Linked DNA regions of Neodiprion lecontei. The protein of the gene in region 2 interacts with the protein of the main gene of each other region in a pairwise test. Links are inferred from orthologs where the notes say so. Each region holds a gene or a part of one and is shown on either strand. Other genes may lie near its edges. The genes, in order: ubiquitin-conjugating enzyme E2-17 kDa and calreticulin.

Region 1 (16,472 bases), about 4.9 Mb from region 2:
GCTGGTATTTTTGAAATTTTAGAATAAGTATTCAAAAAATATGATCATATTTTGATTTGTTATAGTTTACTGAATATCGGACAATCTTAAAATTGCGAAAAATAAGATTTTTTCTGAAGACGGATAGTTAAAGTACCATTACTCAATTCCACCCCATGTTTCAAAGTTACATTAAAAGATGGATAAAAATTGGATAAAAAAAAAAAAATGGTAACGACTTGTAACTTCGTTACCGGCAGAACCGAGACGAAAAAAAAAAAAAAACAAAACCGCAACGCATCATGACTAAGAACGGAAAAATTTACTGAAACAATTGTCGAAAAATTGAAAAAAAGACTAGGCCGTCGGATACGGACAGAGGCGCGATCTGTAATCAATGCGGGCGACTTGAGACCTCGACTCGACGAGTAAGTAAGTGTTCTTTAAGATTTCAAGTTCCCGACGTCGGTAATTTGAAGATCGACGACTCTCGCACTCTAATCTCTTTCCAGTATAGGATTGCATAAATAGACACAGCATCTACACAGCATTGTGTAGAAAAAAAAAAACCTCGAGTATGTCCAAAGTTAGTACATCTCAGAGATTGAAAATGACTAAAGTGAACGCCCTTCGTCGTGTGTAATTTATGTTCAGCTGCAGATCTAAATTCGTTACGGTTACGAGAATTTCGGTACAGACCGCATCGTTAATGAACGGGATTAAAAAAATATATCGTATGCAACGGTTCTCGGTTTACATAAGGCGTGTCATATCATTTTACGTAATAACGCATAAGAGGCACCAAGCGTTGAGGTAAAAACTTGTCCATTATAGGATGTTCATTTCAACCGGTACAGTTATTCGACCATAGCTCTCGCATATTTTTAGATCCACACAGCGCAATAACTTTTCTCAAATTCTGCTACAGACATCGTATGCTAGTTTTATCCCTCCTAGAGCGTAATTCATACAGTACAGTTTTGTATGTGTGCAAGTTCGACCAGCGATTAATTCAACAATGCATTTTAATATCTCGATCGTATCCATGCGCAAATAACCGCCTCATCCTTTCATTGTATTTGTGGTTCGTCTCCTCCTCCCCACCTTGAAGTCTTCCTCGAGACGCCGGCTGGCGTTAAAGGTGAAGTAAAAAATGACAGCAGTCTTCGGCTTCGCCTCCCTCCCCCCCCCCCCCCTTCATCCTCCCAACATCCGACGGTTTCACGACGTCTGGCCCGGAGCAGACGGTACGAGCAGCACCTGTCGGTCGTTGAATCCTGCACGCAGCGACGGGATTTGTGAATAAAAAAGTGACGATAATTGTTCGCTGAAAGAATGAGCAAACGCAAGACGGCGGCGATGAGGCCAGATTTTTTTTTATACAGTTATAAGATAAACCGTTACACTGTCTTCGTCGCTTCTTCTTTATGTCTGTATCTATCGGTTCCTAGGTAAAGTATACGAGAGAACCTGGCGAATATATCCGGATTTATCCGGTTCGGACTGCTTTTGTATGCAGTATTGTAAATCTGATTGATTATATTTCTTTGTGGTGGTATTTGGTGATAGCGTCCGGTGAAGGATTTTTCATGGAGATTAAAATTATGTATGCATACAAATACGCACACGCATACATACAAACATACATGTATTTTCTTCGCCATAAGGAACACAAGGCGTAAAGTATTCGATGACGAATGCTAATCGTAAATCGTGCCAAGTTCGCTACTCATGGGCAAGAATGTAGCAGGAGAGGTCGACAGGCTCGTTGTCGGAAGTTATTAGAAACACGAGATCGGTTACAAACAAAGAGCTGTCACAACGTTGACTCATCGGTTCGACACGATGATTAACGACGACAGTTGTGTCGCGGTCCGGGACAAATAGGAGGAGGTTTAGGTAAAGATTCGAATGGATTCGCGGAGGAATAGATGCGGATGCGAATCTGTGACAATGATAAAATTTATACCCCCCCATGGGGTCCTCAAACCTGTAGGGTTTCGAGTATTGAACCGAGAGACACACGTTGCTGTATGGGGCAAATTTCGGAATTTCATGAATAGCGTGACAGTTGTACTCACTTGCTGGAGTTGCGGGTGCCGTCTTTCAGACCTTGGAAGGTTCCGGTGGACGTCATTGCTGTTTATCGTGAGATTAGGAAAGAGCGAAGATCCTGCTTTACACACGACTGGGCGAACCACGGCTTTTACTCGGCGAACGAAATCAAATACCACTCGGCAATGCTATTGGTCCGTTAAGGAAATAGCACCAACGCGATGTTACTACTCGCGTCAAGTAAGCGACACAATAATAACGCGGCAACGACCGGAATATTCGCTACGTCAAACGGAAGTTGGTCGCTTCACGAAATTCCTGCAAACTAACGCTTGCGGATGCTAGTCGTAATTTCAACCGCACGTTACGAGGGACGGAGTAGTTTCGACAACTTCCGCTAGGGGCTCTGCTTCTGAGTTCTATCGCCACTTCGAATTGAGACTTCGAAATACTTGAATCGGCATTTGCCTTTTTAAAGGTAGCCAACAGCAAGACGAAGAAGTTCATACGTGAAGTTGACCGAAGGCTGTTAAAGACGGTTACCCTAATGGGGGTGTGTCTTATGGGATTGCATGTTAAACCATAACAGTGTGTCAAGCGGTTCCCGTCGATAAAGAAAATACCAATAGGGTCTCTTACTGTCTCAAAGCCATTTACCTGCCGAGTACTGATCCGACTTCCAATTCTTCTCCGTCAACTCTGTGGCCTCTGTGGTTATGAATATTTTGCGAATTCATTGTTATATCCCGACAATATTTCGAGTCCAAGAAACGCTTAGGCTCAATCTCAAAAGTTTTTTTCTGTACCACTGAAAAATCGCACTCCAAAACTTGATCTAATAACTGGAAAATAATCGTTTCAAATACACCTACACATCGCGCAGCGTAGTATTTACAATCAAATTTTTGAACAAAAGTTTTAGCATTTTTTCACAGTAATGCGTTCCGAACTAGGTCGATACTAATTCTGAGAAACAACGAGAACCTTTCTTACGTAAATTGAACGTAATTTGAGTAAGAATATCGATGCTGCTGCAGATTGCTTTTGAACAGACGTCTTCGTATTTTAACTATTACAATTCAACATGGCGGATCGAACATTTATAATTTGACCATGGAGTATGTGCATTATGAAAACAGCGAGTATCGCTTCTACAAAATTCGTAATTCTACGAGTGTAAAATGAATTACAAAACTTACAACAATTAAATCCAAGTATAACACATATTGGTGGTGAAGTACACGTGAAACTGTAGCGTATTTCGATGGTTTTTTATTTGCTTGAATTCGGGTGAAAATGTTAAACCAGGCAGTCATCGAGGCTTTGTACTCCGCAACTTACATCGAAAATTACTTGGACTGCGTTGAAAATCTTCCAAATGATCTTCAAAGACACGTCTCTCGATTACGGGAGCTGGACGCTACCTGTCAAAGTAATTAATTCATCGTCACTTTACAATAAAACAACCCTTAATGAAATAAAAAACTGCTACTTTCCGCTGTTTCAGCTATATTTCACTTTTTTCTGTTTCATATTTAAGGTTATACTGTAACTCTCTTTTGTTCTAAACCGCTGCGTAAACGTCGCCAGTATCTCCACAAAAAAAAAAGCAAGCAAATATATGTTCCCAAATACGTTGATTTTAATTTCATTAATATCGAAATTGGAGGTCAGGCTAATTGACAGATTTTGTATTCATCCAATTGAGTTCAGACATTCGCCAGAGTGGATGTGTAACCACAACTGACCAAAAATTTTGAATATATTTTAGGCTATTTGAGAGACGTTGATCAACAGCAAGATATACTGCGAAGCGACGTTGATATGTCAACCTGGAGGCGAGCGTTGCTAAAAGTTCAACAAGCCCTAATAGCGGCGCAAGAAATTGGGGATGAAAAATTGCAGATAGTACAACAGGTTCAAGATCACATTGAGAATAAGTCACGTCAATTGGATTTGGACTACCGCAATTTAGGTATATTGCGATATATCCTATTAATCTACCAAAAATTAGCACCCTTTACCTTGTGTCTAAAACATAATTTCTGGTTTATCACAGACTTTGGCAAGGAACAAGAAGCTGCAGAACCAGCACGAGATTCTAATGCAAACGTCAACGCGGCAACAACTGGAACCGCCAACACTTCTGAGAGGCAAACAAAGCGGACTAGAAGGCCTAGAAATGATACTTTGGTTGAATCTGCGCATGCTATGGACATAGTTGTCGCAACAGAGACTCGTTCAGCTACCTTGGCTGCCGCGAATACAGGATCGCAGAAAAAGGCAGCTGCTGCTACTACGGGAAAGAAGAAGAAGAGGAGGCGCCAGGTTACTCAACAAAGTCAACATCGGGAAGATACTCCGCCACCGCCTGAAGATGCCATAGATCCTGACGAGCCAACATATTGCCTTTGCGATCAGATCTCATACGGAGAAATGATCCTCTGCGACAATGATCTGTGTCCTATAGAGTGGTTCCACTTTTCATGCGTCTCTCTAAGCACGAAACCTAAGGGAAAATGGTTTTGTCCAAAATGTAGGGGAGACCGACCAAACGTTATGAAACCTAAGGCTCAGTTTCTCAAAGAACTTGAAAGGTACAATAAAGAGAAGGAGGAAAAATCATAGCATTAAAAATAGTGATGGGAATAAAATGGTAAACCCATTATTTGATTGATTCGTCATTGTTTGTCCAATGATTCCGTTTTATTTATTACAGAATGATTTAGATATTCTTTGAGACTTACAATGCATGTTTAAAAAATCTATTGCTGGAATTATATTGACCTCAAGTTTTTTTCATCGGAATGTTATCAACCGATGTTCAGTTTCCTTCAGAATAATTGACTATTCAGTTCACACAACATGAAAATCTTTCAAACACCAATTTTACTATTTTCAACCATAATACACAGTTAATGTTTAGTGTTATATTTAAATGTGTTGAAGTTAATTTTATGATTTTAGCATGATACACATCTAAGGTGTTGAGCTCATCATTGGTCTTCTCGTGTTAAAAGTATTATTACCTTATTTCACAGGAATTGAGTCAAACCCCAATTTTGTTGATCAGTTTCCGAGCATTTTTATTTATTCTCTTGCAGATTGGAATTAAGTTGAACTATGTAAATAAATCGTAATGAAAATTTATTCAGCAGAAAAGTATTTCTTTAAACTACAATACGATGTTTAATATTGTGAATGAGCGTATGGTGACCAGCAAGAATAATGTATGATATGGAATATCCAATAAAATGTTCCACTTTCTCGTTATGTTTATCAGCTAAAAATAACTACAGCAGTCACGAAATAAATCTGTCATCATATCGCAAAATTTTCTTTACTTCCAGCTTGAATAAAATATATAGATTTTGTTCATCCTTTATCGTAATTTATAACATGAATGAATTCTGCGTTTAAATGGATGAATTTTCCTTGTTACATATAAGAGACGCGTGGTGCTACATTACATCAATAAAAGGAGCATTAGATTTTTAAATAGATAATTAATGAATTATCTTTCTATTCAACAGTGACTTGATAATATTTACTACACATCACTCGATGCTAAGATGATATAGATATACAAATATGTATATAATTTTTATACAATCGGTATTTGAGAAATATACAAATCAATTTAAGTACGTTCAGAACGTTAAAGGCTAGCCTTGGCCGTGCAGCGATAATTCATTAAATGAAATACCTAATACGAATAATAACTTTCGAAACAAGTGCACAAGCAAATTTACCAATTTAATCATTTGCATAATCGGGTCAATGTCGAGATATAAGCAATAACGTATTATTTAGTTACGTCTAGTCGTTTGTTCCAGAGTATTATTTGACCCTAATTGAGAATTGCATCTGAAATGCATCCCGAGTTGCGTATTAAATTGATAAGTGTTTTTGTAACATTTGTTAATAAAGCCTGAATCAGCAGCTATACCAGTGTTCCATTATTAATCCCTACAATACGTTCAAAATCGAAACATTCTGTTCTTAATACCGTATTGTACTATATTGCGTGGGTCTGTGTAAAAATGCAGAAAGCAATTTGAATAATCATTTTATTTGCTTAAAATACACGGAACAAGGTGTAATGGTTGTAAAAGTATTGCACAAAATTGTAGACATTGAAAAAACATTTATAGCTTTCCAGCTCAATTAAATTCTGGCTGAATGGATACCGGTGAATAAAGAGATTAAATATATTCCCTATCAGTAGACAAAGGTAAAATTTTTTTGACAAGGTTGAACTATCTAAATATAATTCCACAATAACCATTTAATCAAAAAGTATCTTGTCATTTGAGCTGCCCTCATAGACCAATAAGATGTCATTGAAGCAGCTCAGTTTACAGATTACAGTGACAATCACAAAGTAAATTTATCATGAAATTATATACGTGTATACCTGAATGTAAGCCATCTATACTTAATAATGCGTTACCTAATGTCAGCGGGGATCTTCTGTGTGACTTTCTTGAAAGTTGAGCCAAGACTGTTCAACAACTGTGGCCACCCGTTTCTCATATTCCCGTTTATTTTCTTGATACAACTGTGCAGCTAGTGAATTTGCCGGAGAGTTAGGATTTGGTTCGTCCAAGAGAGACTGAAACACAGACAGTCTCAATGTCGTTCAAGAATGTTTGATGAAGAAAAAGAAAATGTGAACAAGTTGAATGGATAAAAATGCCCCGGTAATTTCAGATACACCAGCTATTACAAGCCAATCGCTGAACCACTTATCCCGTGTCCTTGCGATAAATGAAAGAGAGTTGATGCTACTCATAAGACGCGCCATTATCGGGTCGTAATTTATACAAAAATTAGAAAAGAATGTATAACATTCTACCTATTGATGCAATGAAGTTAGTCAGTTAGGTTAATAATATTTCCTGATAAATCTATTTATTACCTTAATAATATAAAAAATATTCATTTACATTTTACGATGGATCTAATATTATGTTATCTAGTTTTACTTGGTTTGCTGTTTACTAAAGGGGAGAAAGAGAGGGAGAGAGAAAACTTTTTAATAGCTGGTACTTTCTAATGTCTATGATTATATGAGAAACGAAAGAACAACAGTTTGAGATTCTGTGGAAAGCATTAACTATTGCTAAATGTGAAATTCGACCTGTACGCCGTGCATTGTTATTGAGTATATCATATTGGGTAAAAGTAATAAAATTGATTATATAATTTGAAATTATGCATTTTATTATACGTATGTATATATAGATGAATTTCGGTAATATATGAAGTACTAAAATTAAATAGAAGTACAACTCTGTGCCTGGTTTAGAGTGAAGAATCGTTTCTAGCACAGATACAACAAAACAATGCAATTCCCTAATATTAAATATTTCTAATTTTGTGTTCCAAATATTGAATAAATAAATACACAATTTAATAATAATTTATTATACAACATTGTAAAAATTCGCTCTAATGTTGCACATTGCATTTGTTGTAAGGAAGTTGTATATTCTTTTTCTTGTTGCAGGGTGTGACGTGCTAAGTCCTAGGTGTTAGCTTGATGGTAAGGCCCTCAGTGGCTGTAAATTCTTCCTCCGTCTTTGAAGACCATCGGCTGATTGATACATCGATAGTGACAACAGTTGCCACTAATCCACAAAACTCTGCTCCACGCAAGCCTTAACTCGTTTCTCATACTCACGTCGGTTTTCTTTGTAAAGTTGTGCTGCCATGGAGTTAGCAGGAGAGTTCGGATTTGGATCACTTAACAGCGACTGCAATAACATAAGTCGTACTTCTTAAATATCTATTTCGATCTCTTCGGACCTCATTATCATTCTGTCGAATAGAAGATCTACACCTATCACGTAATGATTTATAGGATTCCTGATGAACAGGCCAGATAGTACACATCAATTTCTGTGCTACTTCGTTCTTTTCCAACAACACTCTTTAGAGGAAAAATATTCTCAGTATCAAAGACCACACAAGCATAAAAGCAAAGGTGAAAGTCAATTCATAACAAATTCCTTGTCCTTTCTTCCTTACTTTGCAAGGTAGCTTTCACATAAAAATTAACCTGAAAAGGGTTGTTGAAATTAATGTGTGCTTTGGAAACTGTTTATCAAAAAATCTATTAATCACTAGTATTATTATTCCAGTACAACAGTAATACGACAGACATTGGGAAGGATTCGTTAATAAACTTCGTGCAAATTTAACTCACATTCTTCAAATTATATGTTAGCTCACTATTCTATGCATAAAGATTTTATACATTTCAACAACACGTTAATCAGACTTTTGAATTGCAACCGCTGTTAAGCACAAAAAAAATTTTCTTAGCGCAAATTCAGCGGTTAAGATTTATAGCGCAAGTTTGGTGAGAAGGTCAATGCGGACGGGTAAAAAAAAAAAAACTACCCAAAGTTTCGTGGTTGTAAATTTATACATTTCTACCTTATTAATAATGCACTACTCCGAACCTTGATATACATATCAAAGTATTGGTTTGGATTTTGTTAATGCTGCATCATAAGGATTTAAAATAATCCTTCAGTCATAGCGAGAAATTATTCTCGAAACACTGAATCTGTTAAGTCGAAATATAAACGAGCAAGTAGAAATAACTTTTGAATAGCTATTGATTTGAGTAGAATCAACTTTCAAAAATTAGGTAATTCCCATTCCAAAACATCCACAGCGTGGTATGTTTGTGTTCATAAAGGGTAATATTAATTAGACATAGGAGATATAAAATACCATGGTTAAAAGGTAGATGCAATAGGAGTTTCAGAATGGAATCACGCTATTTCAAACACAAGCAAGGCAGGGCTGAGCATTCATGTATTATCAGACATACCTGTATTGATGTCAGAATGGCAGATACGTCGTATGTTGGGCTCCAGCGATTTTGTAATATATCAAGACAGATTCCTCCATCGGCGTATACATTTGGGTGGAACATCTTACTGACAAATCTCACAGTCGGTGGTTTATTTGGATACTCCTCAGTAAACTCTATGGTTAGTTTAAACGTCCCATCTTCAAATGGAGTGTCATGTGGTCTGCAATTTGAGATAGTGATGAAAATACTTCAAAGATTCATTATATTTTTCTGTAATCAAATAGCTAAATGTTGAACTAACTATACTGACTCTATTAACAACTGTAATTTGGCTGGCATTTGACCTTGAAGCAACAATATACGTAGTGATTCATCCAAACTGATGAATAACTATACAGATGCTGGTCAGGTAATGCCATTCACAAGCTCAATAATAACAATCATATTATTATTTCTAAAATGGTATTATTTGATTGGTTGTTCGCTATCTTAAAAGATGAATTTGTAACGATCAATCATAGAAAATAAGAGTTAATAAATATTTGCTAAAATTGAATCAGCTGGAAATAATAAGTTATAAATATTTATGACTCATCGTAATCACAAAGAGGATAATTTTCTTACTGATCGATCTGTACATTATTATCATTTTCTTTCGTATTATTCTGCCTTACGAACACTTACCCAAAAATAACTGCATTCCAAATCATGATATTATTATCTGTTGGTGCGCCAGATACTCCAGTTGGTGGGTCTTCTTGTAACCTGCAAATAAAGCATAAGATTTGTCAAGCTTTTCGATAATTAACAAATAATCAAATCCTTATTCCATCTTTTACCGGTATTCTAACAGTTTTCACTTCAGACATTTGGTTCAATACCGAAGTAATTCTATTTGAATAAAAAACTAAATGTTTAATCATTATTCAATCGAAACAGTTTTTCTTGAAAGTAGCAAAATAAAGTTTAATACTCTCTACATAAAATTAGTTTACGCGTTAATGAAACATGACTGCCCAATGTGTACCATATTCAGTCATGGTCAAGTCGAGTCTGCATACAAATGTCGTCGGTTCAGCAACGAATCACGTTGATTAGCAATTTGAGGATAAACCAATGCTTGATGAACATTGAACAACGAACCACCTGAGGCTTTACAGTTTAGTTGTGCACCTGACGAGTTACTTAATTGAAAAATAACTTAGTCTAAGGGCAGGCGGTAGTTGACTCATCGCGACTAGCTGATAGCTGTTACTCATCGTGTTCCTTATACTACTTTGAGCAAGTCACAAGCATATTTAGGCGTGCAAAATTGCACGTTGCCAAATTAATGAGTAGATATATTTAATTTTCATTGAATTGCGAAAGAGAACAAAGAAGAGATCAGCCATAGGTTTCAACATCGACTATGGATAAGTGGAGGACATTGTGACAATGTGATTTGTCTGACCTAGAACGTCTAACATGTATGACATAAAGCATGGCGATAAAATTGCAATTTGAACATAAACCTGATGTAAAAGTGAACGATTTTCATCAGGAATAGGCGAATGGTTGGAGTAAACAAATAGTATAAAAAGGACGAGAGAGTTGTTTTAAGTGCACGAAAATACAACGTGTATCCTCTGCACCGTTCTCACGGCCTTCTAATAATAATTTCAGAGCACAAGTCACGGTGACGTTCACAGCGGGTAAAACGTCGGTTGTGTTGGTGAATTGGTGAGCATGTGACCATCGTAACGAAACGCTTTTTAACGGGTTAAAACTCTATCGAAGGGGATGACGGGGAGAAGTAAGGTTGAACCGATTATCACGATGCGACCGAGGGAGTTATTGGATTACGTACCTTTTGAAGTCCCTCATGAGTCTCCTTCTGGCAGGGGTGGACATCCCTTACGAATGGGCTGGTCACTTCTCCTCACGAGTAATGTGCTACGACGGGTTCGAGCCACCCAGCGAATCTTTAGCGCTCCTTGGCACACTACGCACGCGGCAGGTTTCTCCGAGAGGAATAATTCGAGAAACAAGGAAAAAGATACGCGCACAAACACCACAGCCGTAGAAGAGCACAATGGGTTTAAGAAAAAAAAGGAGGGAAATAAGATTTCAAAAAAAAAAAAAAAAACCACGCAACGCGCTACGGTCCTTGACGTGCCGTTATTAACGCGGAAACGAGGACGAGGAGCATCCGTTGTCTTCCTTCTGCTGCGTATATCTCGTTCCCCCTGGACTAAAAGCTGCTATCTCTCGATGTAATACCGTTATATTATGTTACAAGAATTGTATCACATTTACTTCTCGAAACTTCTTTTAACTCAACACTGCTTACCCTACCGATAATTGTCTAATTTTACCCGACGCACCAGACCAACACTTGCCTACATGAAAAAGCCCATGTCACAGACAAATTGAGGAAATTCACTTCCTACACTACCAGAACGGAGAACAGTGTGACACACGGAACAGCGGCTGCTGCTGAGCTATTCGGATCTGACGACTGACGTCAGGAATTTAAATCAACCGTGGCGATTAATCGCTTTTACGAACCCAGACTTTCATCCCACACTCCGCGGCGATAAAAACCAGTCCAGAGACGCGTCGCGTCGCCGCGAAATTCGTTCGTCCTGCCACCTCTAGGTGAATTTAAGTTCAAGCTCCTGGTACCACTAAACCACGCAACATATCATACGTGGCGTATGCGCGGTTGCCTTTAGTAAGGCAAATTGTACTCTGTCTTGCTTTTCTTATCGTTAGTTTCCATTACGTTATTTGAAGAAATTTTTTTTCCCACGAGTTTGATACCAGACGAATAAACAGTCGGATTGGCTTTATGGAATATCATTGACCCTGGAAAGAACTTGTTGGAGTGTAGAATCAGAAATTTGTAACTGGTACCACTGCATTACTGAACATTGTTGAACATATAATTTTGAAAAACTGGTAAATTCGAAAAATTAACGACGGAGCCAGGAATCGAACCTGGTATCTAGCGATGCTTTACCGGAGCCTTACTCCACTAGACCACCTAGCCGCCCTGACTCTGATGTCGTTAATTCCTCTCATCACCAGTAAGTTCAAATTTGTTTTCTTGTGCTGTAGTATGTGTGAATATATAAAGTGTTCTTCCTCTTCGAGCACAACTGTAAGAATGTCTGTAAGTGTGTTTACATTTTGGAAACTTACGCTTCTAATGCGAAGCCCGTAAGACAGTCAATGACCGTCTAATAATTGAAATGCGGATATGCATTATCAATATTAATATTAATCACGAGGCATTTTTCATTGTTGAACATATAATTTTGAAAAACTGGTAAATTCGAAAAATTAACGACGGAGCCAGAAATCGAACTTGGTATCTAGCGATGCTTTACCGGAGCCTTACTCCACTAGACCACCTAGCCGCCCTGACTCTGATGTCGTTAATTCCTCTCATCACCAGTAAGTTCAAATTTGTTTTCTTGTGCTGTAGTATGTGTGAATATATAAAGTGTTCTTCCTCTTCGAGCACAACTGTAAGAATGTCTGTAAGTGTGTTTACATTTTGGAAACTTACGCTTCTAATGCGAAGCCCGTAAGACAGTCAATGACCGTCTAATAATTGAAATGCTCGTTGTGCTCGAAGAGGAAGAACACTTTATATATTCACACATACTACAGCACGAGAAAACAAATTTGAACTTACTGGTGATGAGAGGAATTAACGACATCAGAGTCAGGGCGACTAGGTGGTCTAGTGGAGTAAGGCTCCGGTAAAGCATCGCTAGATACCAGGTTCGATTCCTGGCTCCGTCGTTAATTTTTCGAATTTACCAGTTTTTCAAAATTATATGTTCAACAACGAAAAATGCCTCGTGATTAATATTAATATTGATAATGCATATCCGCATTTCAATTATTAGACGGTCATTGACTGTCTTACGGGCTTCGCATTAGAAGCGTAAGTTTCCAAAATGTAAACACACTTACAGACATTCTTACAGTTGTGCTCGAAGAGGAAGAACACTTTATATATTACTGAACATTCATATTTTTTTGATTCTTTTTCCTAAATATAAATAATACACAACGTTGGTTGAAAAATATTTGCTTCGAATACAATAGAAAATTTGGTATATTTGCTCAGCCTGAATCGTTATAAATATGTATGCGTATTTATATTTACCAGGTTGAGCAAGTGGTACTCTTATCAGCATCCATAATGATAAGGATATTTTTGAAATACACCGTTTCCCAAGTTTTCGATAACTCAGTATCCATGCATGCAATTAAATCACAATCATAACCAAACTGATATGATGAGTCGACAGATTTTCACATGAAGAAATGTTATTTGGTCGGATGCTCGTCATTTTAATTACTTCGAGGAATACGATTTCAAATTTCGAATATTGTTCTGAAAAATTGTTGTGATGATCGATAATAGGTTTAACAATATATATTCAACATTATAATTTTTACAATAAATTAATGTAGTGTACATAAGTATACGCCAAAACGATCCGGCGTGTCTTATCAGTTAAAGTGTTGGTAGTAACCGGCATGATAAGTGTATGGTTACACAACAATGCTTACAATTCGTTCATTATTCATCGAGTTCAACGTGTGTCGTAGTTCTCGCGTCGAGTTGGTCGCACGAAATTCATACACCTCTCCACTGCTTTTCTTTGTACCTTCAACTTTATCATTCTTTCACTCAACTCCGTTTAAGCAATTGGAATTGTCTACATTTGGTCATGAGAGTCACGTGGGCTAAAAAAATCTTCAATCAATTTTCAGCACAATGTCTTGTGAGTTTCTTTTTTCATTTCTATCTTATATCAATGACGCTTGTGATCTATTGCCTGTCAGTAAGCGAACGATCACTAAATGTTCGTAACGATAAGCTAATCTGTGCATGACGTGGATATTATATTTTTAATAGTGGCAACTTGTAACATATCATAATGTCCTACCAAAGTAAACATCTCTTGCGTCAATGATAGCTGTCGTGTCGTTGCGATTGCCATACGCATATTAGAGACCTGATATTCTTGAAAGATTGGCGGAAAAGAGGATAATATGTCATAGAATCAAAGACTATTGATTAGAAATTTCAAGAATTCGAAATTCATCAGTTTGTTTCCTATTTCTGAGATTAATATTCTCATGTATGTTCATTTTATAAACGAGTACGTAATACTTACTTTTTCTTTTGATTTTTTTTACAGATTCACAAAGGTAACTTCACCACTTCAGCAACATTTGGACCCAGTAATCCCAAGTTTCCAATTATTTCTAACAATTTCACGGATGAGCTCAAATTTACCAATGCGACTTCATATGGCTCTATTCCAATATATCGAATATTGGGCTCTGCCACTGAGGATGAAGCAATGGCGAATATCGAGGTTTGTTAAAATTCGAATCACCAGTACGAACCCATGTATTTACGATTCAATGTTTGTTGATATTCATATTTTGAATTTTGAATTTGCCAAAAGCTGGAAGAGGCGAAATATATAAAAATGTACAAGGACATGGTAACAATTACTGTAATGGATAAAATACTTTATGAATCTCAACGGCAAGGCCGAATATCGTTCTACATGACTAATTCTGGCGAAGAGACTGTTCAAATTGGAACTGCAGCAGCTTTAAGTCTAAACGATGTTGTTTACGCACAATATCGGGAGGCTGGTGAGTTTAGATTATTTCTTCGTATCGTATCGCGTCCCTCTCACGACTTCAGCAAACTCAAGAAGTTAAATATCGTTGGTCCTAATCGTCAGAGCTGAAATTTACAATCAGGAAATTTGACAGAAATGCTAAGATAGACTTATAAATAATTACTAACATTTTTTATATTCCAGGTGTACTGCTCTGGCGGGGTTTTAAATTAAAACAATTCATGAACCAGTGCTACGGAAACTGTGAGGATATTGGAAAAGGAAAACAGATGCCAGTTCACTACGGATCTAAAGAATTGAACTTCGTTACTATATCATCGCCACTAACGACTCAATTACCGCAGGGTAAAGTAAACGCCATTTCTGTATTATTTTCAATATAAAGTAATTTAGATACGAAATCCATCCACATTTTGTAACTAATTACATGTTTTTTTATATTCCGTCAGCCGTTGGAGCAGCGTACGCATTGAAACTGGCACATTCGGACCGTTGCGTTGCCGTTTATTTCGGAGAAGGTGCAGCTAGTGAAGGAGACGCGCACGCCGCTTTCAATTTCGCAGCTACTCTCGATTGTCCCGTTATATTTATATGGTAAGTGGATGCAGAATTTGGAAAACTACTAGTTTGAACACTTCATCGCCAACAATACATCTACTAAACATGCGAATGGAATTTAAGGATTTAATTTTTTAGTCGGAACAATGGATATGCAATTTCCACTCCAGCTCGTGAGCAGTACAAGGGAGATGGTATCGCGGCCAAAGGACCTGCGTACGGTATTAACACAATTAGAGTCGATGGAAACGATATATTTGCAGTACACAACGCTACGCGTGCAGCGAAAGAGTGGACTTTGGCAAACGGAAAGCCTGTGCTAATCGAAGCAATGTCATATCGGTATAAAACAATCATTACTTCGTAATATTGTTCACTGATGTTTGTTGTTTGTAATTGGTAGTTGTTATAATCACTTAATTGTGACGTTTAGTACGATTGTACGCTCTGATAAAATTACGGTAGCTAATGAGTAATCATTTTTCATGCGTTTAGAATTGGTCATCACAGTACCTCTGATGACAGTTCTGCGTATCGATCAGTGAGCGAGATTGCCGAATGGGAAAAACTGCAACCGATCGCAAGATTTCGCCAGTGCCTAGAAAAATATGGATTGTGGTCTGAGGAGCAGGAAAAAGAATTCGTATCGTCGATCAAAAAGCAGATACTATCGGATTTTGCAGCGGCCGAAAAGAACGTAAAACCCAACTGGAAGGAGGTGTTCACTGACGTGTACTACAACATGCCAGATCATATTAAGTACGTTTACTTTGTACGATCAATGCGAGATAACTGAACGTGTGAAACAATCGGGAGCTAATGGAGTAAACGTTTGATTTATTTTAGGAAACAATCGGAAGCGATGGCAAAGCACGTCGACCAGTACAAAGAACATTATCCAGTAGAACTTTACAAGCAACAGTGAATCAGGTTTAAAATAATTCCAATCCCGAAAACAAATATCGATCTTTACTTACGTACCTTCATTTTTGGGAATCTGAAAACTTTTTCTGTACCTTTGAAAATATATATATAATTTAATCAACAATTCTTCGAGTTTTATTTTGTAAATATCCCGCACGCGTTAAAACTTTAACCGACCGCAGAGAACAAATATGTATAAAGAATACGTATGAATATATTAAGTTTCAAAAAGTATATCGGTAAAAATTGCTGTTTTTATTCGCTAAATCAAAAGTAAATGCAACACTCGGCATGCTTCTCCGATGACGCGCCCGAAACTTGTGTCGCTGCATGAAAATTTAGCCTAACGTTCGTGAAGTTAGGTTCAAGAATTTAGGAATACATAAACATGCCAAGACCCTGGGTTATTTTTCGTAACGGTTTGCCGGGTCTGGCCGGGTTTGGGGGTATTAGCAGTT
Region 2 (15,901 bases):
CTTGGAAAGGCTAGAAGAGTCAAATATTGAGAAAAACATGAAACTCGAACGGGAAAGGCTACAGTCTACTCAGCCGTGCGACGAAGATGAGAAACATGTTGCTGTTCTGTACTGCACAGTATGCATGACTCACCTTTGCGACGCCTGCGATGTTCTCACTCACTCGTCAAAAACTCTCGCCAGACACAGGCGCATTCCTTTGTCTGAAAAACCAAAGGAAAAACCAAAGTGTCCCACTCATAGCACGCATATCGCTGAATTCACATGCACACAGGATGGATGCAACAGTGCTCTTATGTGCTACCTTTGCAGGGACTATGGGAGGCACAGTACTCACAAGGTGAAGCTTATAGTTTTTCAAACAAAAGAGTTTCATTTGTTGCACCCGTCAATCTAAATGAATATTGGAAAGTGGAATTAAACATATTTTCCTGTTTCCAAAAAGTTTAACACGTTTAGCTGCTAACTCTGGCTGCTAGCTTCAACTTTATTGTTAAGAAAAGTCTAATAAAAGGTTCATATGTTTCCCGGATTTAATGTTTGGCTGTAAACTTCAAGAACACTGTTCAGGACTTTGATTATTCGATTTATTCATTAGATTTGTTTATTGAATTGCAGCATACATTGGTAGAGACAGAAGCTGAGAATATCCGAGTTTCAATCATCACAGCAATGCAAAAAATGACTCTATTTACGGAAAACATGAGGGATACAGCTCATAGGATAGGTAATGAAGATAATTTTGGCTCTGTTTGATGCAGCAGTTAACATTTAATTATCAGTATTACAATTACTGATTGCAGACAATTTGTTAACATTTTATCGAATACTTCTAGAAATTGTAATACAGGAACTAGAAGGCTGGGCAATAGAAGATGCTCGGCAACGAGTACGTCAGCACTTTGAAAAGCTGAGGTCACTGCTAGCAAAACAGGAAAAAGCAGCTGCAATGTGCGTTGATGCTGAAACAAGGGAAAGACTTTGCACGCTTAGAGAATTACACGAAAATCTGAATATGACTAGGACCCAAGTTGCCGAAGTTTGCATTCAGTGGGAGAGTCTGTTGGGTTCTGAAGATTGGAAACTGCTCAGCAGCGCCAGAGATGTCAGCCAAGTTCTGACGTCATTGGAACAGCAGCAGAAACATTACGCTCAGCTTGGCCCAGACCTGCTCACGCCCGAATCCTCTATTCCCATAATATTTAGCAGGGTTCGTAAAGCTTAATTCTCTCATGATCGGTAATGGGAAATTTAGAGAAAGAGTCGCGTTATTTTTACAAATTTCGTTCATTTAGGACAACAGAGTTTATATTGGAACAAAGATAGAAATGCGAGTCGTGATACTTGGCCTAGATGGGGCTGGAAAAACTAGCATTTTATTTGCCATGAGGGACATGGCTTTGTGCAGTCCGCCGATTCCTACCATTGGATTCAACGTAGAGAGTCTGGAGTATAAAAACCTGGTGTTTGCATTGTGGGATGTTGGTGGACAACATAAATTGAGGCCACTGTGGAAGCATTACTACCATAATACTCAGGCTGTCGTTTTTGTTGTCGATGCTAGCGATAGGTTACGATTCAAAGAGGCGCATAAAGAACTGACAAAAATTGTTAGCGAACCCGAACTGAAAGATGCCTTGTTACTTATATACGCCAACAAGCAGGTACAACATGACTTTATGACTTTACATGTTGAATGAAATGAATAATCAGTCCAATTTAGGAAATTGATGATAGGTGAAATTGATTATTGTTGAAATAAAAAGAAAATAATCTGTTTTTAATTCAGGATGTACCAGGTTGTGCGACAGTCGAAGAGCTGACGGAAATCCTTTCGTTACAAAAATTTTGCTGTGGTAGAGCCTGGCATATAGAGGGATCTTCGCCTCTGACTGACTCCACTGGTCTCATTCAGGGATTAGACTGGCTGACACAGCAATTGGGTGCAAACGAGGCCCTGTACACTAACAGTACCTAAACATAAAAAATACTAGGTGAATCTAGTTTTCTGATTTACAGTAGGCACGGTTTGTATCGCCACACGTTATATTCATTAATTCAATACCGAAAGCTGTCAAAATTTTTTCGGTACTCCGCGCCACTTGAACGGAAGCATGGCCAGAATCGACTCTGTGTTTGAAGTATTAAATTATCATAACAGAGAATAGTGTCAAATGTGACGGTAATGAAAAGAAATGCAATAGCCTTATCATTTTAGCTAAAATAGACATCTTAAAGGACATTCATACCGGAGCTATAGTAAAAGAAGTGGGGGAAAAAAATATGAAGTGATAGAGTGAACTTGAGATTGGACACATGAATCACCCTAAATCAGAGGCAGAAAAATAAACGCATCAGGATATCTCTTTTAGATAACTTACAAGAGGCATTGTATATTTGGTTTTATAGAACATACAAATCCGGTCTTCCATTGAACGGACCTCTGATAAAAAGTAATATGAAACACTCATATTCTGCACTTATGAATTAATTTTATTTTATACCGCAAAACTGTCGTGCATAATTTTTTCTAATAAGGCTAATTATAAATTATAAAAATTGTCAAAAACTTCATGTAAGCCGAATACGTAGTCGAACGTGATCGTGGGTTGTGGTTCGGTAAAAGCAGTAAAAGCGTCACGCTTCAATAGAAGTAACCATGGGTTATTCTTTTTAAATTATTATTTTAAAGATATTTTTTCTTGAGTCAAAACAATTCGAAAAAATGGTTTTTTAAAATACAGCGAATTCGGCGATGTGCTATGTGCAGTGGATAGACACTGTAAAATTGTACGAAATTAGATGGCAAAACACAAGTTCATGAAAATGTATATTTTCAGTTGAAGCATTAGAACTTCATCAACACATGGGAATTAAAAAAGATTTTAATCGTAATTATTTGTAGCGAAAATTAATCAGCTCACGTTTCTCCTAGCATTGCAGGTAGAAAAAATCTGGAGAACAATTCCGGAAGAAGATTACGGATTGAAGCAATTGTTTAATGCAGATGAAACTGCGGTTGAAACGACTTTTTCTTGAGAAATGATGAAAGTCAGGACAATGTTAAATTGGCTCAACTTTGTAGTTTTAAATCTGAAGATGCAATCATGCTGCAAATATTGTGATAGAATATTTCAATTATAATAATGGCTTATCACCTTCAGTCTTTGATGTGTAGAAAAATGCCGAAGAGATGTCTATGAAATTAGTACAAAATTAAAAATGCTCGATATTTTCCAAAGTTGTACATAAAGTAATTATTTTTGCGAAAGTACAAGAAAAAGAGCATTGGAGTGCATCTTTGTGTCCTAGTACTGAAAAGTGCTTTTTCTTGGTACTCCATTATACGAAAAAAATTTGTAATCAACAATTTTGTTACATAAAGTATCATGTGCACCTTGAGATAGTTTTTTTCGCCTCATATATTTGCCATATCGTCTTCGGCTTGCGCATGCACTCGCCTACGACTCATTACCAACTTACGCTTGGTGTAAGTCTCCTTGGTGCACAATCTATTTAATTTTCTTAGCTCCGGTAAAGCAATGTGCAGCTTCCATTTCAGGACTACTACGTATGTATGTACATTAGTGTATATTTATATATGTCACCAAATAAATTACGATAATTAACGCTTTTAAAAACCAATCGTCTATTCTCTGGTGACGTCGTGCAAATATTGGGTAAATAAATTTTCCTCAATCTCTAACAAGTAAAAGTTTACAAACGTATTTAGTCTTCTTTTCGTTCCATGTTTATCATTTTCCCATGCAAACGGTAGAGAAACAATGATGGGAAATTGGAAATTGGCGAGTGTCAATAAACAAAGTAAAGTCTAGAAAAGTCTTATTTATTTATTATATGGTTATTGGTGGTTTGATACAATTATTAGCTATTGTTATCACTCACTCACGATTTGCACACACCCATCACTTTTTGCTTTTTTTTTCAATTCATAACCACTATTAGAAGTCGCAGCGCATTATTGCAACGCGTACCCACTGTACTTGTAAGGAGAATGAAATAATAATAATAATTCTTGTATCATCCAAAGTAAATTTCAAAATTACTTTAATACAATATAATATATAAAAACACTTGACAAACAAAAACGGAACAACTTAGTCTTTTGGAGCTGATGATGATGATGTGGACACGGGGGCAAGAATAAAAATTGTCGCGATTTAAATAATTTTTTTTTCCGACGATTTTTGGAGATTCTTCAATCACTTGAAGTAATTATTACGACAATTAGAGAAACTTGTTATCCTTTCAATAATAGCAACCAGTTTTCTCGGTTTCGCAACCGACTGTTACGAAATTGCGCAGATGAGTAACGTTTTTAAAATTTTATCAACGTTATCTTGCCCGCACGTATGATTTACACACTATTTAGTGTTTGAAAGCATCTAGTGTATAACATTTTGTAATATTTCATTCCAACTGTCTCTTTCTTTTTTCACACTCTTGCAATAGTTGATAGCGTCGCACAATTAGGCAGCAGCTCCTGGAATACAGTCTGTGTTTGTGCCACCTGACACACTATTTACAATTCGTCGTGTTCCTGCAAAAAAGAAGCAATTCCATTTTGTTATATCCGACATGTAGCACGTTGTTCAGCACGCGATGAGAACTTAAGCTTTATATGGTAGTAAAAAGAAATTAATCAACAGATAAAGCTTCAGCAACGAGGAATTCCGGCTTTTATCGCTCATAATAATCGGAAATCGTCTTTTCATCATTTTGAGATTAGAGATTTGCTAATAATTTTTCTTGAGGAAGTGAAGGTTTTGTGAATACTTACTGCTTCTTCTGGATCAGGGATGGTGTTATCCTCATCTTCGTCTTCTTCATCGTCTTCCTCTTTGTCTTCACTTTCCTTGAGTTCCTTTTCTCTCTCTTTCTTCTCTTCTTCATCCTGAGCTTCCTTCATCTTCTTTTCTCCTTCCTGAATTAATAAAGTTCTAAATTAAGATTTGCACTCTCAAAGTACTGCCAAAAGTCAACTGCTTGATAGAGTATTTGTCAGTAACGAGGAATTCCAGCTTTTTATCGCTCATTATAATCAGACCTGCTTTTATCATCATTTTGCGTTAATTTAAATTACAGTTCAACAACGTTGCACCACTTTTAATAATGTGACAAAAAAATTTCACTCACGAAAGTAGGTTTCCAAACTTCTTCCCCGATTTTGTGCGCTAATTCAGGATCGTCGGTGATCAGAACGTTGTCAAAGATCGTACCGGCCTTGACTTGCCAGAGATCAAAACCAATGGCACAGATCTCATCACGTTTGTAGAGCTCAGGGTCTGGTTGATATTCAGGGTTATCAATCTCGGGATGAATCCAGGGTCCCTTGTAGTTAGGGTTGTCAATTTGCTTGGGTTTCCATTCTCCCTACGATAATTGAAAAATGAAAGTATCATTACTTTTACGATGGTTTTTGGCGAATGATATTTCATAATTTGTGCACCCTCACTATTGAAGCTTCTTACCTTGTAGTCAGGATTATCAATCATGGGTGCTTCCCATTCACCATCCATCTCGTCGTCCCAGTCGTCTGGTTTCGTGGCTTCGGGGTCAGGAATGTGTTCTGGCTTGTCCCAGTCCTCGGGTTTTGTGTCATCGGGATCAGGGATGGTGGGCTTATCATCCCAATCATCAGGCTTGCTGGTGTTCGGATCCTTGATTTTTTTCGCAGGCAAGAACTCCCAGTCAGCTTCCAAGTCGCCGGATTCAACCTTTTCGTTGTCAATAAGGACCTGAAGCAAAGAAAATTATTAAAGATGTTAGTAAAAATGTAAAATTCGTCCACTTTTAACAAAAATGACAGCACATTAATGTCCAAGTGACGTATGATTTGGCAAAACAATCAGAATCATCATCTCAGCATTTTTACGACTTGATCTCTCGTATTATAGTGATCTGTGTCTTCACTTGGTACCTGAGATAGGCATAGTAACTTATTCCAGGGCATAAGTAAGACGCGTTATGCTCTTCGAGTTCCTATAGCACTCATCCTCCACAAGGGTGAGACTTGACGAGTGACTCTAGGCTCGATTTAAAATTTTGTTTTTAAATCCATGGTCAGTGAATGACTTCTGGGAGTATACTTCTGCTCGTTGATATTTGACAAAATGTAGCAATCTAATCGCTTTTCAAGACCAGTGTAAAAAAAGTCTGGCATTTTTTACCTCGTAAGTATTGTCTGGCTTGACAATCAATGTGTAAAGATGAGTGTAGACATCATCTTTGCAGCGAACGTCTTTGCTGATGAGTAGGTTCTTTCCTTTGTAGTTGAATATAACGTGAACCTTCTTGGTGCCAGGTCCGCAGATATCGGGTCCTGTTCACAGAAAGAAATTTATGCATTTTGCTAAACAAACAACAAATATGTTCCATTTCTTTATTTATTGATCTAATGCCAAAACTATTTGGAAATTCCGTTTCAATTATCATGTAAACAGACGCAGATAGTCAACCTAACAATGTTGGATCAATTCCAAAAGGAGTGCACTGGTATTGGGGGAGTTAAATTTATACTTCATATAAAAATAAAAAGTAAACAAGTCGGCTGTTCCTTTATTATGTGGAAAGTGAAGAAATTGCAAATTTAGCAAATTGGTTTTAATCGTACTAACCGAACATGAGAAGATATGGCGTTTCTCCATGCATATCCTTCTGGTCTAACGAGCAGTCGAACACTTTGGCATATCCTCCTCCACAGTCGATGTTCTGTTCATGCTTAACGGAGAACTGAACAACCAGTGGTTTATCCTTGTTACTGAACGGGGTGAATTTCCTACTGAGTGCATAAAATCTTGCATCCTGGGACGTCTGGATACCTGAAGAAATAATTATATATAATATAAAGTTTATCAAAGTATTAAAATAAAGTTTACATTTTCATTCTTTTGCTTTCTTATAAATATTACACTTGAAAATATAATTCTCAATACATAGAAGACATTGTTTATGCAATAATAAAGTTTTGAATGAAGTGAAAGTAAACAAACTGAATTTATCTTTATGTTATCAAAATGTTTTCTTATTACAGTTATTTGTTCTGCCTTCTTTAATGACATTTCTGAAAGATGATAATGGCTGTAGAATTTTATCTTTTGCAGAACATGAAATACATTAATTTAATAAAAAAGAAAGTTTCTTTCATTTTAATTCAACGTGAGTCATTTATACTTCAATTTTTACAATGATTACGATTAAGATTAAACATAATTATATGCATTGATATTAATCTAAAACTAAGTAGACAATTAAAAAATATTTGAAGATTTCAAAGTTCAAGAATTTTAATTAACTTTTGTGTGGCAGAAATCAATTACTTGATATAAAAAATTTAAATATCAATTCAAACAGATCAATTAGTTTTATGTTACATTGGCAAAGCAAATTATAGATAAATACGAAAACAGTTATAGATACGAACCTTTGTCATTCTCGGGATCATTCCAGAACTTTCCATGGCTAAGTACAAACTTTCCAAATTCCTTACCGGGATGTTCAGAATATACCCATTCCTTTTCCCATGCGTCTGCCATGAAAAGACAGGAATATTAGGTTAGCTATAATTTTCACCGCCATTAATAGACGAACGAAAACTTTAATTAAAGTCAAGAGTAAACGCGAAATCGAATGAAATATCCAAGTTGTAGAACTAAACACGTAAATATTTGAGGATAACGTTAACAGAAATCACGTTCGCACTTCGCTTTCAACGATTAATTTTTTCCTCAACGACGATACTTGGCGGGTCTCTTTTACAGAGTCTAGAAGTTCAATTAGCAGAAGGAAGCATTGAGCGTGCTACATGATAGCATAGTCTCATACCTACGGCGATACTGTCACAGATGGCAGCGCTCGATAATCCGAGTAGGGAGAGTGGCCACCTCTACGTTCGTTCGTCCCTGCCGTGCCGGTTGGCATTTTCGTTTGTATTTTATTTACAAATAATAATAATAACAATACCACTAATGCCAGCACGTATGCCGGTGCCGAAAATTTTGTCTTATCCGATAATCTCTAACGTATAAGTGCCAATGAAACTCCGATGTCGAACGATATCGATCCTCTTGACCGTGATTAATTGATTATATTTGAGATACAAGCTTTCGCCGGGAAGTAGCTACGTTGCACCGAATGATCATGATAACATTAATAATAATAATGATGATGCTATAGTAGCAAATTTATTTAAGTAGGTATTCGTTGCGGGGAAATTTGTAACCGCATTTATCAAGCTGCCGAGTGAACGGAATTTGCCTACTCGGCTTCCGACGCACATGAAGAGATGGTAATATTTAAAGGGTGTGGTTTATAAATTGACATCGAAAGCCCGGGAGAGTGAACGTCGAGAAATACGTCGTCACAGAGTGGCAGCAGGAGCAGCAGTTGACGCATTGTCAAGAGATCGAGGGTGACGAAAAGTAAAAGGGAGAAGAAATGTAAAAGGACTGATACGAAAGATGGTATTATCAGGGGGTTGAAAATGGTCTTGTACTCACTGTCGAGGAACTTTTCTTCGAAGTAGACCTCAGCACATACAGCCGATATCGCCAACAAGGCGAAGAACGCGTAAAAAGACCGCATCTCGGGCGCCGGGATCGCGAAATAACCCGCGTCAAATCGTCCTATTCGCACAAGGAACAAGCCAATAATGCCAGACGTGGTGGCGAACAGAGACACCGAGCAGCCGTCGGGCCAGACAGATGGAAAACGCTCATTCGTTCCCTATTTTCGACCAATCACCTCCGACCACGCTCGCCGACCTATGAGGCGCCGCTACGTAGATGACGAATCAACTATCCAAAGGTAAACAGATAGAAAACACCACGTCGCGTCGATAATGCAGAGTTATCAACCGGCGCGGCGCATCCGGCTACTCACGTCGGAATTTTATTCAAACGAGAATGATTTTAATCAACGGCAGGTGGAAAGATTCTGAAAATTTGTCAGGTTGCACGGTACAAGAGAATTTATCAACAAAATAACTGAGATGCAGGAAAACATTTTCACTTTCTTACTGATGATATGCAAGCACGCTGTTCTGCAAACAATTGAACATCGTACCTTTCGTTTCTGCAAACTTTTTGTAGGCATACCTATAAGTATACATGAATGTAATATGGTGTAAAAATGAAAGTATAGGCGAAACATTACATAAAAAGTGGTTATTCATTGAAATAAATATAAACTTTTGGATTCTCGAAGAGATTTTCAGAATCATATATTTCAGAAAAATATGTTTATTGAAGAATAATCAATTTTTTTTTTTAAATATGTGAACATAATTTTTCCCAGGTTTTATAGGTAAACGTTTTTAATCGTTGCACGAAGTTTCTGAAAATAGAATAGCGATAATACGTTTAATGCATAGCTCACGCGACTAGTATATTTTAGAATTTTCATCCATGCACACGACGTAATAAACTCTTGCCACGTTATCCGCTTACGTATGCCTACGTACTTTACCTCGAGCTCGGTATAGTATATTACCTATAGCTCGGCAAATGATAGTGATATAATCGCTGCAATTATGTGCAAATTTTCGAAATATCTCAATAGGATATATATTATACCTACCCAGTTACGAGCTATTGTAGGACGGTGATAATATGTGATGTGATTGGCGAGGTCGCGTAAAGAATTTTTAAGAAAAAATAAGGAAATTGTTTTTGTAAGAAAGTACGTATATGTATATGTATATATATAATGTTTCTCGAAAATTAAGGTAACAACTTCTCGCGCGTAGACGCGTGTCTCAATATATTCAATGCATTAAGATCAAAACACGATTCTACCGTCTGCAGTTCAAAGTTTTATATCGAACGATACATGCAACACGCGTTATTGCCTGAGTCGATTATCCGAAATAGGAGGACCTTGCAGTATCTCGATGAGTTTCGAGAAAGGGAAATGTTTTCGGGAGAACCTACCCGTCACATTTGGACTTTGGAATTTTCGAGAATACGTACATGAATCGTAAAATTCGATTATTATAAGTATAACTGCACATTGCAGTGCAACCTATTAAGTTAGGCAATTAAACTTCCAGGTGGTGTTGAAAATATTATACTATCTTCCACGAAGCTGGAAACTTCTAGGATTAACAATCGCTTAGCTAGATAAAATCATTTGTGTCAAATTAACTCAAACCGCTATAAGTGGCACGTGACCCTGCCAAACCGCCGCCGGGGGGGGGGGGTCGCTCGTCATATTTTCTTAATTCCGTAACTATGGCAACGAATTTGTATACATCATGGCGACGGTAGTGCCGCGTCGATTCCAGAGGCAGAAGGTGTATTAGAACGAGGATCGTTTGACAGTTAAAAATTAGGCAAAATTGAAAAGTTCATTGCAGTGTATAAAAAGCGTAATATAAATATAAGTAAAATGATGCGATCGAAGGCCACGGCAGCCTTGATGAAACTCAAGGAAATCGACAGAAAGTACAAAATGAAGTGCAGCGAGGATCGCGTGAAACGGCAATCCAGCTTGAGCGATATAAGCGCAGTCGACAGCGCGGACGAATTATCGAAACCCGCGGGTGAATCTGGTTCCGGCGATGCGATTGTGAGGCCTAAATTAGACGTGAGAATGCCCGAAGCTTACTTGGAGCGAAGCGAAGGACGTCGAGGGCAGGAAGCCTCGGAACCTACGGCCGAGTTGGTGACGATTTTCGACTGTAAGTCGGGGAAAAAGAGCCCGCGCCAAGAATCGGCGAATTATCAAAGAGACGGTCCGGCGGCCGGTGGAGCCGAAAACCAGGAGGCAAGAAAACGATCCGAAACTCCGTCCCTGCAGGTCGAATCCGAGCGAGAAGCCGCGGGCAAGTTGACGACGGAAACGGAAACCTCGGTTAGCGAAGAAGTCCCGGAAGTCGTTCGGTCGATCGCGCCATTTTCACGTCCGGTCTCTGACCACCCAGACGTCCCTTCTCTCGGCGAAGAAATAACTATGAAAAGCGTCGAGTCGATAATTGATGGGGAAGAAAGGCGAGCCAGCACCTTGGACGCCGATTCACCGACCTTGATGGCATCCGCCGGCTATTCTGACGACTTTGTTAGAAGTACGCCCTCTGCTGAGACTCTCAGTATCGTGGAGGAGGATCTGCAGGCGCAAGAACCGGAAGACTCATATTCGCCTTCGGGCTCTTATCGGCCGCAACGGTCATCGCCTACATCGATGCAGTTGGAAACTAAAAAGCTCACCCAACTCGTAGCGCCGAAGGTGATTCGCGTCCTGAGCAAATGCGACGCCGGTTTGGATCCTGGCCTCAGCAATTATGTAAAAGCATCGACGAACGGAAACACCGCAAGCCCCGTTTGTCTTCTCAGGTCTTCGCAGCCTTCGACTGATCGCAGCGATGAGATTCGCCGGATGAACCGGGTAAAAATTATTTCCGCGATGTTGATAATTTGTAACGAATATCGTGTTTTCTTTCTTTTTTTTTTCCTTGTAGATTTTTCGCAGAAAACGATCAAGTATTACGTTTGATCTTACATTCATCTACAATTATCTAAAACAGAATGGAAAAATTTTCGGATACTTTGTAAAACTCCATGAAATTTCGTAGAAGAGTGTAACGATCTTCTACGAAAAATTATGACGGTCCACAATTTTTTAAGACAAAAGTATAGTAAATCGACTAAACATAAAATTCAGTGAATTCTTAAAGAATTTTAAGAATCTATACGACAATCTATCATTGAATAGAAAACAGCTTTAGTTTCACGTAGATAATTGTAGAAAACTGTGAGTTTTTACAATTCGTGTAGAAGAAATTTAAGAACTGGAAATGGAGACGGGAATTGTTTTTTTTTTTTTTCATTTAAGAATTTCGCAGACACATATCAATTCTTATAGAAATGATTCTCTCTATAAGATTATGAATACGTACCTACAAGGAATGTAAAGACTCAAGAAAGAACAACGCAGTGCATATAGTTACAGTAAGAATTTTGAGATATTCTTCGATAAATTACGGCCATCTGAAAGATTGCTGTACAAGGCAAGATCGTAAAAAAGCAAAATGTTCAACGAAAAACTTTTTAGAGGATAACAGAAATTTTTTTCACCAGGTGAAACGAAGGCCTGCAGTTTCTTCCAGGGATTCCTCCGGACTTTCGTCGAAAGAAGATCCTGAAACCGGGAGCAGAAAAGACGTAGAAATTATTACTAAACAGGATGAAACGTTGGCGGAAAATCGTCGTATAGTTTTCCTCATGGAAGGTAAAAATCCGCAGTCTACCAACCCCACCGAGATGCTTCAGAGACACGAAAGGGTTCTGGAAAAAGCGGAGTCTAAGAGCGTGAGAAACCGGGCGAGGATCGAAACTCCAGTTTCACTGGTCGGAGAACTCGATCTGCAGACTCGCTCCAAGGATTGGGAAAAAGAGAAGAGCGCTGCTTCTGCGGCCGTACAGCAACCTGAACGGGTTCCATCGTCCGAAGAAGCTTCCGCAGGCGGTGTTCGGCTTGCGACCGGCGTTGAAAAGCACCGGTCGAAAAAAGTCAAAACGGAGGAGCGCCATCGGGCGGGCAAAAGTCGAACCAGAGAGAACCGGAAGCTCCGCCATCGCCGGTCCGCAGGCGTAGAAGAAGAAACAGATGCGAAACGGGTAGCTGGGGACGTGGAGAGGCTCAGAAGACGGTTAAAGGAGCTTCTTCTCGAACAGGAACGAGATCAGCTTAGACCTCGCGTACGCAGATACCTGCAGCAAATTATTGACGAGGATGACGGATTCGGGGACTGCGACGCAGCCTCGTCGTCTTCTGGAGTGCGACGAAACCGGAGTCTACGCTCCTTCTTCAAGCCGCTCGACCTCCCGAACGTCGCTGCCTTTAAACGACCCGGTAAACTGGTGCCTCCACTGGAGTATATAGTTTACCGTTAGCCTCGCCGTGGTCCGAACCTGCTACTGCCTGCAGCCTCGCCGCCTCTGATCGCATGTTGCTCCAGGGCCTCGGCTTCGGCCTGGCGACGTTTGTTGTATTTTTAACGAGAAAAAAAAGTCGGAGAGAAAAAGATTTAACAAAAAAAAAAAAAAAAATACGACCAACCGACAACAAAATATTGAATCGAACAAAAACGAATCCTCGGAAAACTTTTCGTCGGCGTGAAATTTCGAGTTATTTTTAATTGTTGTGTATACGTCAGGTATAATTTGCTCATGCTGATATTAAACCTGAACCCGCATCGTCGTGTGATAATTATTATTCGAGTACTAATTCGTTACGTATAAATATATATATATGTACAGGGAATTAACTGATTTAGATCGTATTATCGGGTTCTGTTCTTTCTGAAAAAAAAATTCTGATCCACGTTTTGTTGAACTCTCACTAAACATTTATCACTTTTCTTTTTTTCCTCTTGCTCTGAAAACGCCTGCGAGCTATAAGCACGATCATATATACTTACGTCGATAGGATGAACTACGAGCTGTACGAGAAACGGATTCTGGCAATCCAGTACTAAAATTAACCACGCACCGACCGTTCATTCGCTAATCACTCAGTTTACGTATTCCTATTTATTTTTCTTACGAACTTATATATACATGCGCGTATAGTAATATAGGTATGTGTCCATATACTCTGCCGCGAAGAAAGTTTATTCAGTCGATTTGGACATGCAATTTGTGCATCGTATAGGTATGTGTATGCAACGCGTAAGAGAATAAAATACACGAAGATGTGTACAGATATAGAGTTCTGAGAACATAGGGAAAAAAAAACTGTTTTCATCGTGTGCTCCGTGCAATATTTGTAATCTCTGTTTCACGAAACATTTTTATATAAAATACGTGCAGAAGTTATTCAAATCAAATAATCCTCAAACATTAAAATATTATGGTTATTAATTCATGCTCTTGGGAATAGGTTCCCACTTTCCTCGTTCTTATGAGGTCAACGATCCGATCCCTCTTTTTGTCTAATTGTCAAGGATTGAACAAGTTCCCAAAAACGGTTGCTTTCCTAGATATGCAGTTATAATTATTGACTTCGCTCGGATTGTGCGGTAACAGATTATATATACGTAACGAGTCAAAAATCCGGTTCCCGGCTATTTTTATTCACTGTTTTACGACTTCTAAACTGAACTTTAGTTTCCTTCATTCGCTAACAAATCACGATTTCTTTCTGTCGGAAAGAGGGCGTGGTTCGGTGATAAAATAAATAAATAAACAAGTAAATGAAAACTAAGTAACGAAGAGAAGATAAAAATACAAATATTCAATCAAACATTTGATTCGTATTTTCGATCCAGATTTCGAAGACGACAAGACCGCCAACCTGGACTGCGAGAGCCGTTTACATTTGCGAATGATTCACGAACGTGTCCTTGGAATACGACATTGGCTGAAACAGCAGTTCGTCCTTTACAGAGACTACAGCAATTTAGCATCGACTATTAACGCAACGTACATCCCAGTCACTTTGAAAGAAACGAAAAAGGTGGGGAGACATCCACGTACAGTAATAATCATTAATGCGTTAATCTTACGGCTAACTTGTTTTCGGTCCGAAACAAAATGCGAGTTCGATTCTATACGAATTTTGTGACAATGACCGGCGATGCAGCCGATGTGAGAGATTGGGTGTCATTGTCACGGAATTAGTATAGAAACGAACTCGCATCTTGTTTCGGACCGCAAACAAGTTAGCCGAAAGGTGACGGCGTTAATGAACATTACTGTACGTATATCTCGATATCGCGGCATCGAATCTAACCATACTGTACTGCTCTTTTTTTCTTCAAATTGATAATCGGCACACGTGAATAATAAATTCTGTTTTCTACTTTGCAGATGATTCGTGAAACGCAACGTTTCCGTGATATTATTATTCGAGAGAGGCGATGTCACGTGACATGATCATTAAATAATTATGATGTATGTACATACATTATATACTGTCGTTCAACTTCGGATCTGGACATAATTAAGGCAAGAAGAAGCAAAGGGAGAACATTTAATTATCAACGGCTTCGAACCTTTGTTATATATATATGTAGGTATGTATTTTGAATCGCAACCTATAATTGTTTTCCATACAGATATATGGAGTTAAATTATTTAGCATACCATACATGGTTTAAATACGGTGTACAAGACTTCGCGTATAAAATAATAGATATAACAATAATCATAACAACATACCAACAATGAAATCGGTCGAAAGTTTCCGGCGGCATAAACAACAATCAACCTTCTCCTAATTTATCCCTCTCTTAATAAATCTCACAGGTTAATTAATTACTCCTCATAAACCAAAGTTTGCGTTAATCACGCAGCTTGACAACGTCTTTTCGATGAAGAATTCTTCCGGTTCATGGTACGAGGCGTCGACGAAGTTAAACCAGCCCGTGTTTTTCACGACTCTTCATTTCGCGCCACGCGTCACGTCTACGTCACGGTGCTTGGTTAATTGTCTGTGATCCCGATAACGACAACAATTCAATCTGGCAATAAAAGAGTCGAAAAGCAAGATGACTAAAGAAAATTGAAGAAAATAAGAAAAAATAAAAAAAACAAACGCCGATGGCAAAAGGTTGAGATAAAAAGAAAAAGAAAAAATTGAAATAAAAAATACCCAAGTCTGCGTGAACTTTGGTGAACCTAAGTTCACAGCGCGAGAAGCCGCTCCGCACCAGGTGACTTGCGAATGGCGAGTAGCGGCGAATAGCGGCGAATAGCTCGGTTGAGAAACGTTCCTCGGAACGGCGAAGAGAGTCGATCCAAGAGACCGTGGAGCAGGCGGACCTAAGGGGAGGAGGACATGGTCGTCACTCACGTCTGCGAGCTAGTCGTTCTTGAACTGCTCGCGGTACCGCGTCTCCGATCCCGCTGCCGTTCTTCCCGCGAACTTTCGTTCGAAACGC

What was found.
Region 1: the proteins of calreticulin (region 2) and ubiquitin-conjugating enzyme E2-17 kDa interact in a two-hybrid assay, tested with the Caenorhabditis elegans proteins (2 studies listed by BioGRID). The link is inferred for Neodiprion lecontei from reciprocal best matches to the Caenorhabditis elegans genes crt-1 and ubc-1.

The regions. Positions count from the first base shown.
Region 1 is NC_060263.1:34,341,828-34,358,299, forward strand, and holds ubiquitin-conjugating enzyme E2-17 kDa, read right to left. Parts: upstream 11,377-16,472; 5' UTR 10,757-11,376; coding exon 10,713-10,756; intron 9,632-10,712; coding exon 9,551-9,631; intron 9,087-9,550; coding exon 8,882-9,086; intron 7,794-8,881; coding exon of another isoform or gene 7,668-7,793; exon of another isoform or gene 7,240-7,667; intron 6,650-7,239; coding exon 6,494-6,649; 3' UTR 6,088-6,493; downstream 1-6,087. Other genes in the region: inhibitor of growth protein 1, read left to right, coding at 3,331-3,466, 3,806-4,009, 4,094-4,662; 2-oxoisovalerate dehydrogenase subunit alpha, mitochondrial, read left to right, coding at 13,417-13,653, 14,074-14,253, 14,347-14,542, 14,716-14,877, 14,982-15,126, 15,229-15,432, 15,586-15,849, 15,937-16,015. UniProt on the Caenorhabditis elegans protein: Catalyzes the covalent attachment of ubiquitin to other proteins.
Region 2 is NC_060263.1:39,261,157-39,277,057, forward strand, and holds calreticulin, read right to left. Parts: upstream 8,687-15,901; 5' UTR 8,605-8,686; coding exon 8,520-8,604; intron 7,550-8,519; coding exon 7,445-7,549; intron 6,843-7,444; coding exon 6,639-6,842; intron 6,344-6,638; coding exon 6,192-6,343; intron 5,760-6,191; coding exon 5,493-5,759; intron 5,395-5,492; coding exon 5,158-5,394; intron 4,946-5,157; coding exon 4,802-4,945; intron 4,562-4,801; coding exon 4,544-4,561; 3' UTR 3,832-4,543; downstream 1-3,831. Other genes in the region: E3 ubiquitin-protein ligase TRIM23, read left to right, coding at 1-340, 619-727, 837-1,210, 1,296-1,664, 1,790-1,978; uncharacterized protein LOC124294163, read left to right, coding at 10,408-11,403, 12,096-12,870, 14,288-14,475, 14,829-14,894. UniProt on the Caenorhabditis elegans protein: Molecular calcium-binding chaperone promoting folding, oligomeric assembly and quality control in the endoplasmic reticulum (ER) via the calreticulin/calnexin cycle.